2 linked regions of the Macaca mulatta genome follow. The main gene of each other region encodes a partner of the protein of the gene in region 2 in a complex. Links are inferred from orthologs where the notes say so. Each region holds a gene or a part of one and is shown on either strand. Other genes may lie near its edges. The genes, in order: IL22 and IL22RA2.

Region 1 (8,191 bases), on a different chromosome or scaffold from region 2:
TCAAATGCAGGCATTTCTCAGAGACATAAACAGCAAATCCAGTTCTCCAATTGCTTTGATCTCTCCACTCTCTCCAAGCTGTGAAAATAAGAATGCAAAAGTATTTGAGCATTTATGCCATGTTTTCTAAAGTGAACAAATTAGAAATTGCAAGATTAGGTTGATGGAGACAGAAACCGAGTTTTAAGCATTTGTAAAACATTCATCGTAATACCCCTTTAGCAAGAGTATTGTATGATTTGCCAAAGAGCTTAAAATGACAGCTCTCTGGACTGAGAGGCCACCAGCAGGCATCAATTTCAGGTGCACCTCACACTAATGAAGCTGTTTAAAAGCTGGGCAGAGGGTTGACCACCCCTTCTTAACCAGAGCAAGCAGACTGAAGTGAGGCTGGGGTCTGGGGGATCCTGAGTGCCACCCATTATGCCTTGGCCTGTTTTGCAACTCCAAAACTATCTATGACAGATGGCTTATAAAGAGCTTGTCCAACCCACAACCCACGGGCTGCACGTGGCCGAGGACAGCTTTGAATGCACCGTAGCACAAATTCATAAACTTTCTAAAAACATTATGAGATTTATGCATGGACCTTTTTTTTTTTTTTTTTTTTTTTTTTTTTTTTTTTTTTTTAGCTCATCAGCTATTGTTAGTGTTAGTGGATTTTATGTGTGTCCCAAGACAATTCTTTCAAGGTGGCCCAGGGAAGCCAAATGATTGGACACTCCTGATTTAAAACATCTCAGCTCGGAAGACTTCAAACCATATATTTACCAATACATTGAGTTTTTTTCTGTTTCCACCATTTTGACAAAGAGTAAAAGACAAGTTTTCACTTTTGTGGGAAAAATGTCAAATAAGTCTTTTCCACTTGCTTTAGTTAATAGAAAACCAGATACAGGTCCTAACATTCATTCTTTCTCCCTCCAAGTCAAATGCAGATGAGGCTCCCAAACTTAATGGAAGAGGAAACCCAAATTCAAGTGAAAAGCATTCCCTATTGAAATTCCTCTAATCTATCATATTTGCATTATTTCAAGAAAAACCTTGTCACCATTATCCTCTATACAGTACATTGTTCTTTCTTTTCCTGCTTTCTTCCGCCCTTTCACCTTTCCATACTTCTTTTGACATAAAGCCAAAAAGATATGCTTTTCTATCTCAAAGACTCCAAGACTGTAAAGAATTTTAAAGTTTATCTTCCCCTACTGTCTGTCATGCATTTTACTACCAGCCTGTGCTCTGCTTTTACCCCCAGCGAGAGGGAATTAATGCCTCCCGAGACCACCCTATTTCAGACAGCTCTGGCAGTTTCTCCTCCTGTTGATCTTTCTCTGAACAACATTCCTCTCCCGCCTGTACTTTCTGAAGGTACCAGCAAAAAAGCATAATCACTCTTCCATGTGGCAAATCATTGAAAATAGGAAATTGATTCTTTCAAAATGGATTAAAGGCCTTGAAAATCACCCAGATCACCATGAGATTTTCCTCTCTCACACTTCACTTTTCTAAAGACAACAAGCAAGCTGAAATCAGGAATTTTTTAAGCAAGATGTGTAAAGCACGTCTTGTCTGTGACATGCTAACATTCAGCCCTCCATGTCTAGATAATAGTTCCATAACAAGAGAACTGAGCTTCACAATATAAAACTACAAAGCCTTCAATTATCAAAGGAAGAAACAGTCATGTTCATTAAATGATGCTCAGGAAGAAATGCTTTTTTAAAAAGTCAAGAGGAAAAAAGGGGGAATTAAGGTTAAGCTTCTTACTGAAAATTCCATCAACTGGAGCCTTCATGTTTCTGAGTATTTACTTGGACCTGCTTGTAAGAACATCACTTTCACTGCTCCTAATCATTCCTCTGGTTTTGGGGTGAGTCACTATTGTTAGTCTAAGTCTTCCATTGTTGTTCTTTTCACCAAATAGGGCACATGATGGTATCATTCACTATAGAAATGTACACCAGCCCACCGTGGATAAATGCTCACTAGGGGTTTATTGAGGGAATGAAGGAAGAAACTAGAATGGAAGGTCTTGAAGGGAGAGAGGAAGAAAAAAAGGCTTACCAATTCAGACTTCCATTTAACTATAATAAATCTCTTACTAACATTTTTAGTCTATTTGAACTTGTATAAAAGAGATCAGGTGTTATCTGCTCTTGATTTTAAACTAAAATCAATAGTTGTTAGATATTATGATAATTAAAAATAAGCATCGATTACTCCAGAAATTAGCCCTATATGCAAGTCCAGCTCTTTTATTGTTGTTCTGAGTTTATTCCTCCAAGTTTCAAAGCAATGCATGAATGCCTTCAAAAATGACTTCAAATAAATTTGCCCATAGGCACTTTTCTGTTTTTAAACAAGTGCTTCTTCAGATTACATGAGTCAATAGGAATCTGAAATTTCCCTAAGAATTAATGAAACTAATCTGTATCACTGCCGGGAAAAGTGTTAGCTTGGGATTCGGGAGACCTGTATTCAGCCCTGTCTCTGCCACTTGCCTTCCCCAGAAGGTGAGGTAATGTGACTGGACAACCTAAGATTCCAGCCGGTTCTAGAATTCTACAATTTGCAAAATTTGGAAACTGACTTCTAGATATAGAGATATCTCTGCAGACACAGACACCAAAGTAATCACCCTGGTGGTAGGAGAATCAAGTGAAAAATCACAAAGTGGTGGGAAGAAAGAAAGGAAAGAAAAACAGCATTTGTCTCTCCTATTGCATGACTTAGCATTGACAGTTATCAGTCCTACCTTTTTCACTGTGTCCTTCAGCTTTTGGACATTCTTCTGGATATGCAGGTCATCACCTTCAATGTGCTATAAAACAAAAACAAGAATAACTATCTTAATGTTGTGCTGAAACTTCACGAACCTCCACACCCGTGGAGGTACGGTACAATTCACCTGGAATTAAAACTCTTAGTAATTTTGCCCACAATGACCTAGATTTCAACGGTGACCTAGATTTCCTGAGCTCTTGAATTCCCTTGGACACCAGACTCCAGTCACTTCCCTTACAAGAGACCTCTCTTCATCTTTGGGAAATCCTACTGAGGTTTGCGTTTGTGGAAACAGCGGAGTGGTTTATGCAAATTCTGTAAGGAATAAAACCTCAATCATACCTCCACAAAACAGCATGCTCAGAACAAGAAATGTACATAAAACATCTCATGTGAAAATTAAGCCCTCTTCAGTAAGTCCTAGGGCCTTTGACTGGGCCCACTACACTCAAACTTTTTTTTGTAGTTTCATATGTTCAGCGGCATCAAGTTCACACGCCTCCGATTTTGTCACTTCCCATGACATCAGCAGGGCAACAGTCTGCCGACACACCGCTGACACTAAGCCTTCCCATTTCCCACTTTGTCTTCTACTTTCTCTCCATGCCATCCCCTCCCCTCAACAACTTAGACTCAGTGGATCCATTTCCACATCTAGATGTTTTTCCCAACACCTTTCTCACCTTACACAAACTGAGTTGCCTTTTTTCCAGAGACAAACCAATGCGGCTTCTATACACTTAAGTTCCAGACCCCCTTCACCACTATAAACTCAAGATGTGACTCAATCAAAAGCAAAAACAAACACTCTGTGATCCTAAATGACTCCTGATAATACTGCTGCCAAGACGCTTCTTCCTGCTAGCTTAGGGGTAGAGGGGAGAAGAGAGAATCGGGGTAAGGGGGTCTCTGTGGAAGAAGGAGGGAAGGAGGGGTAGATGGGCATAGGCTGAGAGCTGAACTTACACATGTGCTTAGACTGTTGCTGAGCCTGGCCAGGAAGGGCACCACCTCCTGCATATAAGGCTGGAACCTATCCGATTGAGGGAGCAGCACTTCTTCAAGGGTGAAGTTCAGCACCTGCTTCATCAGATAGCAGCGCTCACTCATCTACAGGTGGAAGGGAAACAGCAAGGGTCATAAGGGATAAGTCCTAAATCATCATTACCACCAATCCAAGTACCCATGGACGGCACACGGCCCTGTTCGTCACAACTGTAGCTTACACTGACTCCGCGGAACAGTTTTTCCCCAATGAGACGAACGTCTGTGTTGTTATCAGCCGAGCTAGCCTGGAAGAGAAGAAAAGAGTAAGTGCCTGGACATTGAGCAGATAGAAAAAAAATCTGTACGTAGACATGTGCCCCATCCCCTCTCCCCAGAGCAACCCCATAAAGACTAGAAACAGAATTCAGATGTGTGCATAAGTTTAGGACAACACACAAAGGCATAAAGGAAAAAAAAAATCATCAGATGGGTTACTGAATGGCCGAGTTTAAAACATGAATGGGAAAATTCATCACATGTATCATAAAGACCAAAATGGAAGGAAGGAGTTCAAGTCAAAAAAAAAACGGCCAGATTCCCAAAGAGTCTCTGAAAAAACAGAAAATTTATCTGCCAGCAGGGATAAACAATGGGTTCCTAAAGCTCTTAGAGGTGCTCTGAAGAAAAGTGCAAGAACTATTTGGGTTCCAAGTAGATCCAATGAGAAAGCGCAGCATTGAGATGCATACCTCCTTAGCCAGCATGAAGGTGCGGTTGGTGATATAGGGCTGCTGGAAGTTGGACTTGTCAAGCCTGCAGTGGGAGCTGACGGGTGCAGCTGCTCCTCCCTGCACCCAGAGGGCCAAGAGAAGGAGGCAGCTGGTGGCCAGAGTCCCCATAAGGAAAGGGCTCACAGATTTCTGCAGGGCGGCCATTGCAGACAACTCTTACTCGAGCAATTGGTGACTGGGGACGGAGAACCTGGTCGAAAACAACGTGAAGGAACAGAATTAGTCAAGAAGTATTTCATCAAACTAACCAATTGTACCAAGTTTGCCGAAACGCTTACCTGTTCTGAAGATTCTGCTTGTGATGGGGAAGGTAGAAGCGGCTGCTTTTATAGCCCCCAGGATACCGACTTTTTTTTAATTGTGCAAAATGTGACATCAGCAATTATCTAATTTCCAGTACTGTCTTCTGAGAACGACCTAACCACCACAGGAGCCCACAAAACACCACCTCTATTCTTCCCACCTTGAGATGTAAGTGTTTCCCTAAAACGTCACTATTAGAGCCCAGGGGGTATTTTACAGACAAATCCCAGAAATTTTCTAAACCCTACATATTTTTCAAAGAAAACAATTGTTTTGTCTTAGTAGAGTTCAGATTTAGTATAAAATTTTTTGATCTCCTATAGTGGCTGAGTAAGCATTTTGGTCACGGACTCATTTTCCTACCCGCTTTATAGATTCTTATCTCATTGGAGGTGATCAGAAGAAAAGGACCCGTGTCCTATATCCTCTGCTTTAAAGTAAATGGTAATGACAGCTTACAGATCATTCCATTATTAAAATAATTTTATCTCCTTTTTAAAATGCTGAATTCTAAACCAGACTTCTGTTTCAAAAATAACAGTCTTGGCTAATCTACTTATTGTTTTCTTCCCTTTCTGGGACTATTTTTAAGTGATCCTAACAAGGCAGAAGCAAGTGTATCTTAAAATTGTATTAATTGAATTATAATCAATGTCCACTTAAGTTTGTAAATGCTAATGCTGAACAATCTGATCACCATTTTTCTTAACATGTAAACTTTGTTTAAAAGAAAAGAATACCATGGATATAGTTAAAATTTTACCTAATTCTAAACTTCACACAGGTCTCAACATAATATTTCCAAATAACCTTATAACAATTATATATGTGTGTATATATGTATATATTGTATGTGTATATATTGCATATACACATATATGTGTGTATATACACAATATATATGTATATATATACTATATATACACACACATATATATGCACACATACATGGATGTCTGAGGAAGGGAATATAGGAATATAGAGGTTCCACATTACCTTTAAATTATTTAAAAATACACCTAAAACTAGACTGGAAATTCTCCCGCAGAGCAAGAGAAGGAAGCAAGTGCAACTATCAAAATGCAAGTACCTATTGCTGAGGGAAGGAATGTGAATTAGTGCAAATTTGTATGATCAGATTTTTCTCCTCACAACTAGTTAAGATCAGGAGTGTTGAAGAACTGGGAGAAGGGACGTAAATAATTGTAAAACCTAGACCACTTTTTGAGATGGCACAGACCTCAGCAAAGTGCCACTGGGAAGAGTTGGAACCACCTGAGGACACTGAGCATTTGTGAAGGTGGCCAGAGGAGAAAGAAGCAAAAAGGAAGATTAGTGGGAGTAAATAACACCACATGATCACACTTGCATGTGGAATCTAAAACACTTGAACTCATAGAAAGAAAGAGTAGAATGGTGGTTGCCAGGGGCTGGGTGGGCAAGGGGCAGCGAGTTGGGGAGATGTTACCCAAAGGATACAACATTTCAGTTAAAGAAGAGGAATAAGTTGAAGAGCTCTATTGTCCATCGTGGCAACAATAGTTAAGAACAATATATGTTATGCTTAAAAATCACAAAGAGCATAGATTGTAAATGTTCTCATTACCAAAAAAAAAAAAAAAATTCCGTGTGAGGTAATGCATATATGTTAATTCGCTCACTTTAGCCATTCCACAATATATGCATATATCAAAACATACATGAAATCAACCTAAGTATCCACAGATGGATGAATGGATAAAGAAAATGTGGTATATATACACAATGGAATAGTATTAAGCCATAAAAGAAATGAAATCCTGTCATTTGCAATAACATGGATGAACCTGAAGGACATCATGTTAAGTGAAATAAATCAGATGCAGAAAAACAAATACTGCATTATCTCACTCATATGTGGAATCTAAAAAAAAAAAAAAAAGCTGATATAGAAGCAGAGAATATAACAGTGGTTACCAGAGACTGGGGAAGTAAGTGGGGAAAGCGGGATGGGGAGAGGTTGGTCAACGGGTACAAAGACACAATTAGGAGGAATAATTTCGGTGTTCTATTACACAGTAGAATGACTATATTTAACAGGAAAATATCGTATTTTTCAAAATAGCTTTTGAAGATTCTCACCACAAAGTAATGATAAATGCATGAGGTGATGGATATACTAACCTAATTGTGTCATTATACAGCATACACTTATATCAAAATATCAAAATATACTCCATAAATATGTACAATGATAATGTCAATTTAAAAAATAAGTAATTTTTAAAACATCATATTGTGTAACATAAATACTGTATATACAATTCTTATTTGTCAAATAAAAATGAGATAACTTTTGTTAAATTGAAAAAAAAATAGGTATGTTCCAAATGTTTCCTTGGGTTGACCATGAGCCCGAGAAAAGATGATGAAACCTTCCTTATTCAATTTCCTATTATATAGGGCCACTTTTGCCCAGAACTCTGTACAATTCTATTAGCATTAGATTTAAGCTATTCATGGATTAAATAGGCTTTTGTTGGTTTGCCTGGGAAACTGACCAGCATACATAATTTTGTTTCCATGGGAAAATAAGTTTTGACATTGTTGAATTACGTGATTTCAAGGGAAGAGTCTCTGTGTCTTTCGTCTTTGTAACTCCAACACTTAGAACAGTGCTACACACATAGGAAGGACTCAATATAAGCATATTGACTGCCTTCATGATATTTCTAAAGTTGGTGTTTGACCCAGTCCTGCTTACCAGCTTATTGTTCCTGAATGGAAAATAAATCACTGTGAAACAGAAAGAGAATGCCAGAAAATTGCAAAGCCATCTTTAAGAGCAGCAGCGTGCCTCTTATTCATTGTATGTCCCTGATGGACCAAGCATCAATAAGATAGTGTTAATGGAGCCTAGATCTTAAGTTTCAGTGAGTTTAACTAAAACTCACTAAAGGGAAAATCTGCTCTGGTGTTGTATGGGGGTTTCTGAACAGTCATACTAGGAGTCTCAGAAATATTTGCTGTTAGAAGAGATTGTGAGGCTGGGCGCGGGGCTCCTGCCTGTAATCCCAGCACTTTGGGAGGCTGAGGCGGGCAGATCTCCTGAGGTCAGGAGTTTGAGACCAGTCTGGTCAACATGGTGAAACCCTGTTTCTACTGAAAATACAAAAATTAGCCGGGCATGTTGGTGCGCCTGTAGTCCCAGCTACTCTGGAGGTTGAGGTGGGAGAATCGCTTGAACCCGGGAGACTGAGGTTGCAGTGAGACAAGATCGCCCCACTGCGCTATAATCTGGGTAACGAAGCAAGATTCTGTCTCAAAAAAAAAAAAAAAAAAAAAAA
Region 2 (7,613 bases):
AACAGCAGGTGAGAATTTGTTTCTGGTATTTGTGGAAGACACTGCAGGAGTGTAGAGCATCTTATCACCACTGCATACTTCTGAGCAAGCCTGTAAGAATCCAAGTTTACAGATGGGTACCTCTCAGTGTAAGTGATTCAAGTAACTTGCCAGTTGTCTAGTGACTTATACATAAAAGCAATTCAAGCCTTAATCTTGCAGAAATGTTTGGATTTGAGAAGACTCTGGTCCTTGGTAACAGCAAGGACACATTTAGCAAAATATGGCAGGAATTCAAATGCTACCAAAATGTTCCTGGCTCTGCATCTTACCAAGCCTGTAACCTTGAGTATGAGATGCAACTTTTTAAAGCCTCATCTTCCTCATCTGTAGAATGCGATAATAAAAATATTTACCTTACTTGGTGACTGTGGGAATTAAGTAAGTTGTAAAGCTTTGAACATAGTGCCTAATATAAGTTAATGTTCATATATGTTCAATGTTTGATGAATGCCAGCCAGAAGGAGGAGGAGAGAAGAAGGAAAAAGATAAAGTATACCCTCAGCTTCTAATTGGTCTGTCTCTTTCATTAGCTCCTCTCTCCCATGGCTTTGCTCTTGGCTTTCTGTTGGAGGGAAAAGGCAGGCTCTACAGTCAGACTGGATACAAAATCAGCTTCACCATTTGCTGCCTGGCAAGCTCCTTCGGGTCTCCAAGGCTTCGTTTTTTCAGTCTGTAAGAAGAAGACCATAATGCACAGTACTTTCCTCATAGAAGAGCTGGGTAAATTAAATGAGTGAATGCAGATAAAAGTCCTTCAGTGCCTAGGCCAGTGTTGTTACTGTTGGTGGTGGTAGCACTGATGTTACAAAAATGAGAGAAGAAATCCATAGACAGAGAGATAAAGGGCATTAAGCCATCTATCTTCATGTTAGCAAATCAATTCTAGGCAGGCCTTCAGGAAATTGTGCCTATCATCTCCTGAAAACTCCTGGAATTTTTATGTTCTAAAGATGATTGATCAGGCAGTGATTTTTGTGAGCAAAATCAATTGTGGCTGTAGACTCTTTCCAAGAACACAACACCATTTGATGCACTGATGGTGGTCCAAACAATAAAAGCGAAAACAAATTAAAAAGCAAATAACAGTATTCACACTATTTGGTTGGTAAGAAGAAAGGCCTGAGGAAACAGTCTTGTTCATTTGAAAATAACAAATCTTGAAAGTTCAGAGCTGAGACCATGGGCTTGGGAATATTTTTTTAACCATCTCAATAATGTGATACAAATGAGCAAAGACTTGAAGGAGGTGGAGAAATGAACCATGTGAAATCCAGGGGAAGATAGACCAGGAAAAGGGAAGGGCCAGTGCAGAGGCCCTAAGGCAGAATCATCAGGGTCATGGTGGAGCAAGTGAAGGAGTCAACGCTGCAAACACAGGGGTCGGGGTGACAGAAGATGAGGTCAGGGAGAAAACAGAAGATATGCTCCCTGGCCGGGTGCAGTGGCTCACACCTGTAATCCCAGCACTTTGGGAGGCCGAGGCGGGCGGATCACTTGAGGTCAGCAGTTCAAGACCAGCCTGCCCATCATGGCGAAACCCCGTCTCTACTAAAAATACAAAAAAATTAGCCGGGCGTGGTAGTGGGCACCTGTAATCCCAGCTACTCGGGAGGCTGAGGCAGGAGAATCACTTGAATCTGGGGGGCAGAGGTTGCAGTGAGCTGAGATCGCGCCACTGCACTCCAGCCAGGGCGACGAGTGAAACTCTGTCTAAAAGAAAAAAAAAGATATGCTTCCTGACTCCTCCTCCTTCTGCCCAACTTCTTATCCCTTATAAGAAACCTTGAACCCTAAACAAAATTTTGCCAAAGTTCTCTTGCCTCCATGTGACTAAAGGCAAGTGAGGTTGTAGCACCTATGTTGCATGATTCGAGGAAGAAAGCACAAGTCATGCCAGTGCAAAATTATCCCATCCCCTGCCATGATTAGTCTCAGAAACACTGGCCCCCCAGCAGGGTCTTGGTCTGTTTTCCTCATTAGCATGGCCATTTCATCTGAGGGATTATGCCTGGATACTTGGAGCCAGGATGTAGGCAGGTAAATGCAGCCATTCAGGAGTGGGACAGCAAAGGCAGACCTACTTGGAAGCAGGACCCAGCGATTGAGCAAGAACCTGTGAAAGGAGGGACTGAGTTCTGGGCTGAGATCCTGGAGCCAGAATTGGTCCCTAGCAAATTTTGCTTGAGTAGTACCAATATAGTGGTTCCTAAGAAGATGGTTGTTGGTCTCAGTGTGGGTCCTTCATCTCAGTCATTATATTCCATTGCTATTTGGGGATAAAATAATAGCAATATTTTTTTACTACAATTTACTTCCCCTACAGCCTGGGAAATAGGGTGGGAAGATAGCATGTACATGTTTATGATCTGGAACTCATCATTCTGAGACTTTAGCGTGTATCAAAATCATTGCATTGAAGATTCAAAATGTTGATTTCTGGGCTCCACCTCTACTATCTGCACATAGAGCAACTACTTTAGGGAATCCTGATGCAGGTATTCCATTGAAAACTACTGCTGGGAACAACAGTGCTCCTAGCAACGTTCAATGTTCTTCCTTCTCTTATTATCTTAGGAACTCAGCCAGCACATGAGTCTCTGAAGCCTCAGAGGGTACAATTTCAGTCCCGAAATTTTCACAACATTTTGCAATGGCAGCCTGGGAGGGCACTTACTGGCAACAGCAGTGTCTATTTTGTGCAGTACAAAATGTAAGTAAATTGAGCCTCCTTCAGCTGACAGAGATGGCACTGGGATAACATGTTCTAGAATGCAATGGAGTGTTAGGATCTGAGCTTTTTCTCCATTTCAGAGGGGTTGAGAAGAAGCCAAGGTCAGGATAGCAGTGACTTGTCTCCCCTGAAGGCTGCCTGGGGACTCAAAATGCATGATGGTATGCAGTGCATTGGGCAGATACTTCAGCCCTAGACCTGCACCAAGACCTCACAGGCTCAGCCTTCACCTCCATAGTGGAGCCTGGCACATGGTGGATTCTCAATACAAGTTTGTCAAGCGAATGTTGGAAGCAACTTATTTAGCACATAACAAATACTCAGTGAATGAAACTATTGATAGTTGAAAAAGAAGTTGTGGCAAACATGGAGGTGATGTGTAAAATAAGTTTTTAATCTAAAAGTCACTTTCAGAGTGGATTTACTATTTAGAAAATTCTGTTCAAAAACTAATGAGTCTCGTAAGCATGAACACAAACTGGAACACGCTGCTGCATGTTCCTCTCGTGTGATACTCAGGCTACTCCTACTGGATCATTGCCAAAACTCAGATATAATCTACACCTTTCCTGGCTCAAGGCTTGGAAACAAACACTCCTGATTTGAAAATGTCAGGTTTTTCCACTCATATATTTTTGGGGGGCAAGGGGAGTTGAGGCTCAATCCTGTCTCCTGACAGTGAGACAGGAGATATTACAGTTTAACTTTCATGGTTTTTCACTAGAAATTCAGAAAATCAAATGCAGCTATGGCCAAAATAGCAATTTTTATCCCATAAATTCATCCATGTCTCTCCAGCATGGGGTAGGTCCTAGGTCAGATTTTCCCTCTAATTAATTTCAGAATGAATATCCCCAGAAGCATCTCCATCTTTAACCACTACTACTTCTCTCTACATATCTTATGTAACAATTGTAAAATTTGCAAATCTTTACAATGATCGTTTCTTCATTACAAAAGTAGATTTGTGCATAGCTGGAGATACTTTCAGCATGTAGGAAGTAAAGATTGGTACTATTTTTATACTTCTCCTTGAGCAGTATAAATAGGTCAAAAGTGAACCTATTTGTAGACCAAAGTACTAAGAAGATTAGAAACTGTTTTACCATGCATCTAATGAAGATTAAACTTCAGGACCTCATGCAAGGATTTTATATTTATAAATCTTTCCTTAAAGAGGACTCCCAAGCTGCTATGGTTTGAGTTTGTCTCCACCAAAATTCATGTTGAAATTTGATCCCTAGTGTGGTGATGTTGGAAGTGGGGCCTCCGAGGAGGTGTTTGGATCATGGGGATGGAGTGCTCATGAATGGCTTGGTACCATCATTGCTGCAGTTGAGTGAGTTCTCACTCTTGCCAGACTGAATTTGTCATGGAAATGTTTCTATCAGAGTGGTCGTTGTAAAGCCAGGATGCCCCTTGAGTTTGGTCTCTTCACGCGATCTGTTTTCCCCATGGACCTTCTCCAGCATGTTCTTATGCAACATGAAAAGCTCTCACCAGAAGCCAAGTGGATGCTGGCAGCACACTTCTTGTAACTTCCCAGGCTGCAGAACATGGGCTAAATAAACCTCTTTTCCTTATCAATTAGCTAGCCTCACGTGTTCTGTTATAGAAACACTAAATGGATTAAAAAGATTATATAAATTTCAGACCCCAGAATACCTGAATCCATTCCTGTCTCTAAGGGATTTTCAACAGCACAGGACAAATTTATAATTTTGCAAACTTTCACTTTGGTGTATCCAGTTCATGGACTATAGTACTGTTATATCCCTCACATTTAGAATGGGATAAACAATGAGATATTATGTTAAAAGAGAAGTCAGTCATTACAGCTAAGTTAAAGACTTATTATAAATAAATAATAATTTTAAAACATCAAAGTATACTCAATACATGTTGTGGTACTGCTTTAATTGTGATAGAATGAAATTGCTATCACCATGTAGATTACTGAGTACAGATACTGTCAACCTTCCTTATTATGTGTCTAGAAAGTTAGATTTCAAGTCTTTCAATAAATAATTTGGGAAACTTTTCTCCCCAGACTCCAATTCCTTCTCTGTTCCCCACCATCACTTTGTTGCATTGGTCTGATTTATGGCAGGTAAGGAAACAAAGCGTGAATCTTCCCTTTGACTATTACACCATCCTGTGGCCTCAGGCTGAGTCAACCTCTCTGCCTCTTGCCTCACTACCTTTTTTCATGGGTTTCACTCCCCCTCTCCCAACCTCTAATTACAGGGCTCCATATATAGTCCTCACTAAAACTTCCCGTCAATTTTCAATAAAGAGATTAATCATGTATGTTGGGTAAGCAGCACCTGAGATGAAAAGTGGTAGCAACTTCTCAGAAGCAGCCACATTACTCAATAGCGAGCTGATGAGAAGTGATGAAAAACCACAAACACTCAAAACCACAGAGCATTAAGGATGTGGAGAGTGAGTATTCAAAAATGGAAGTCAGTCCTCACACCTGAAAGAACATTATGCCAACTATTAAAAAATAAGTTAAAACCCTTATGTTAGTGATACAGAAAGTGTCAGGGATGTTTATCTTCCAGCAAGACAGCACTTCAGGTAATGCTGTGGCTTCTATGTGTCCCCCAAAAGCTCATGTGTTGGAAACTTGATCCTAATGCAGCAATGTTGAGAGGTGGGACTTTGGGGAGATGATTGGGTCATGAGGATTCTGCCCCCATGAATGGATTCATCCATTGATGGATTAACGAATTAAAGTGTTATTGAGGAAGTGGGCTAGTTATAAGAAAAGTTGGTCTGTTTTTTATATATATATGTAAAAGCCATGTCTCTTGAATGCCTATGACATCCTCTGCCACCTTAAATCTCTGCAGAGAGTCCCCACCAGCAAGAAGGCCCTCACCAGATGTGGCTCTTAGACATTAGACTTCCTAGCCTCCAAAACTGTAAGAAGTAAATTCCTTTTCTTTATAAATTACCCAGTCTCGGGTATTCAGTTACAGCAACAGAAAATGGACTTAGACAGTTAATAAGAAGGAATTTTTTTAAAGCTTCTGAAAAGTAGCCATAAGCTATCATGGTGATATTGATACTAGAATCAGGTATAAAGAATTATCAGTCTGAAAATATTGAAGACTCCTTGAGTGGAGAAAAGAAACTCAGATCTTTGCCTTTTCCCCGCTACAGATATGGACAGAGACAATGGAAAAATAAAGAAGACTGTTGGGGTACTCAAGAACTCTTTTGTGACCTTACCAGTGAAACCTCAGACATACAGGAGCCTTATTACGGGAGGGTGAGGGCGGCCTCGGCTGGGAGCTACTCAGACTGGAGCATGACGCCGCGGTTCACTCCCTGGTGGGAAAGTGAGTTCCATGGAGTTTCTTTGCCCTTGTTCTTCCTGCTTTTGGACAGCCCTCCCAGAGCACGGCTAGTGACCAGGCCTTGTGCTTTGCTGAAGGCTCTACATAGTTATCTCATTTGGTCTAATTATCAGAACAACTCTAGGAGATAGCTTTTATTATCCTAATTTTCTAGCCCAGAACATCAAGATGTAGAGGCTTTAGTCATTGGTCCAGTCTCATGACCTGTATTATACAAGTCAGGGTTCACATTTACTGCATCTGACTGAAGAGCCTGTGTGTGTGTGTGTGTGTGTGTGTGTGTGTGTGTGTGTGTGTGTGAGAGAGAGAGAGACAGGGTCTTGCTTTGTCACCCAGGCTGGAGTACAGTGGCACGATCTTGGGTCACTGCAACCTCTGCCTCCCGGGTTCAAGCGATTCTCCAACCTCAGTTTCCCAAGTAGCTAGGATTACAAGCGTGTGCCACTATCCCTGGCTAATTTTTGTATTTTTAGTAGAGACGAGGTTTCACCATGTTGGCCAAGCTGGTCTCAAACTCCTGACCTTAGGTGATCTGCCCCCCTTGGCCTCCCAAAGTGCTGGGATTATGGGTGTGACTCACCATGCCCAGCCCTCCAAAAAGTATTTTTAGACAGCAGAATTTGTCATAGTGCCCTAGTCCTTCCCCAAACATGAGGGTTAAGTTCATGAAAATAGAAGAATTTTCTGTTAAGGAAATTAGACTTTTAGTCTCACCTCCCCAAAAAGGCAGACCAAAAGTGCTTTCTCAGTATCCATCCTGAATGATATTTATTCCTCTTTTAGTTTAGTCACAATCATAGAATAATATAATCTAAGATATAGGTGATAAAATGAACCATTACCAACAGACATTGGCTAAAATAGTAGGGAAAAGAAAGAGAGAGAGAGAAGGGGTTTAATGTATAGATATAAAGATGTGCATAAATAGAACAAGAAAGAAAATAAAGATATTTACCACAGTCCTCATAATTGCAACTAATCATGAAGCTGTAGTTAATATTTATGACTTCTTCCCTCATTATAAACTCAACATTCATCTTCTTTTCAGCCAGCACTTCAGCTTTTTATCCATGAGGAGTTTCAGTCCTTTTGGTGTTTCCTATCTCAGCTTGACCTAACCTTACATTATTTTTTATTGCTGAATAGAGAAGGTCTAAGAGGCACACTTGAGGCTACCAAGAATTCTTCCACCTGACCCCAATGTATTTATTACTGTATTATGCCTTGAAAATCAGAATGAATCACCCCAGACAATATAAGAACCTCATTTTCTTTTTGTTAGCTAAATGGCACAAGGAGCTCCAAATGGTCAGGAGAGAGCCTCAACTTCCAATTTTTGGAAACCATTTTTGTTATAAACCAGAAGAATTCAAGGCCAAGCATATGGGAAACAAAAACATGTCATCATGTCATGAGTTGTTCTCTATGGATAACAGTCAGAGTTGCCCCTCTCACTTCCACTTCTTGTATCC

What was found.
Region 1: the proteins of IL22RA2 (region 2) and IL22 are in contact, whole or in part, in a crystal structure (PDB 3G9V), measured with the Homo sapiens proteins. The link is inferred for Macaca mulatta from reciprocal best matches to the Homo sapiens genes IL22RA2 and IL22. Residues at the interface, in NP_443194.1 of Homo sapiens: Lys65, Ile66, Tyr99, Gly100, Gln101, Arg102, Trp104, Gln128, Glu129, Pro130, Tyr132, Met148, Pro150, Arg151, Thr153, Trp155, Trp156, Glu157, Glu200, Pro246, Met247, Leu248, Asp249, Arg250; in NP_065386.1 of Homo sapiens: Phe47, Gln48, Pro50, Thr53, Asn54, Phe57, Met58, Lys61, Ser64, Leu65, Asp67, Asn69, Thr70, Asp71, Val72, Arg73, Leu74, Lys162, Gly165, Glu166, Asp168, Leu169, Met172, Arg175, Asn176.

Annotation. Positions count from the first base shown.
Region 1 is NC_133416.1:75,369,152-75,377,342, forward strand, and holds the start of IL22 (interleukin-22 precursor), read right to left. Parts: upstream 4,864-8,191; 5' UTR 4,841-4,863; intron 4,753-4,840; 5' UTR 4,707-4,752; coding exon 4,521-4,706; intron 4,077-4,520; coding exon 4,011-4,076; intron 3,895-4,010; coding exon 3,751-3,894; intron 2,822-3,750; coding exon 2,756-2,821; intron 79-2,755; coding exon 1-78. UniProt on the Homo sapiens protein: Cytokine that plays a critical role in modulating tissue responses during inflammation. Plays an essential role in the regeneration of epithelial cells to maintain barrier function after injury and for the prevention of further tissue damage.
Region 2 is NC_133409.1:42,252,437-42,260,049, reverse strand, and holds part of IL22RA2 (interleukin-22 receptor subunit alpha-2), read left to right. Parts: intron 1-2,616; coding exon 2,617-2,752; intron 2,753-5,944; coding exon 5,945-6,123; intron 6,124-7,613. UniProt on the Homo sapiens protein: Isoform 2 is a receptor for IL22. Binds to IL22, prevents interaction with the functional IL-22R complex and blocks the activity of IL22 (in vitro). May play an important role as an IL22 antagonist in the regulation of inflammatory responses.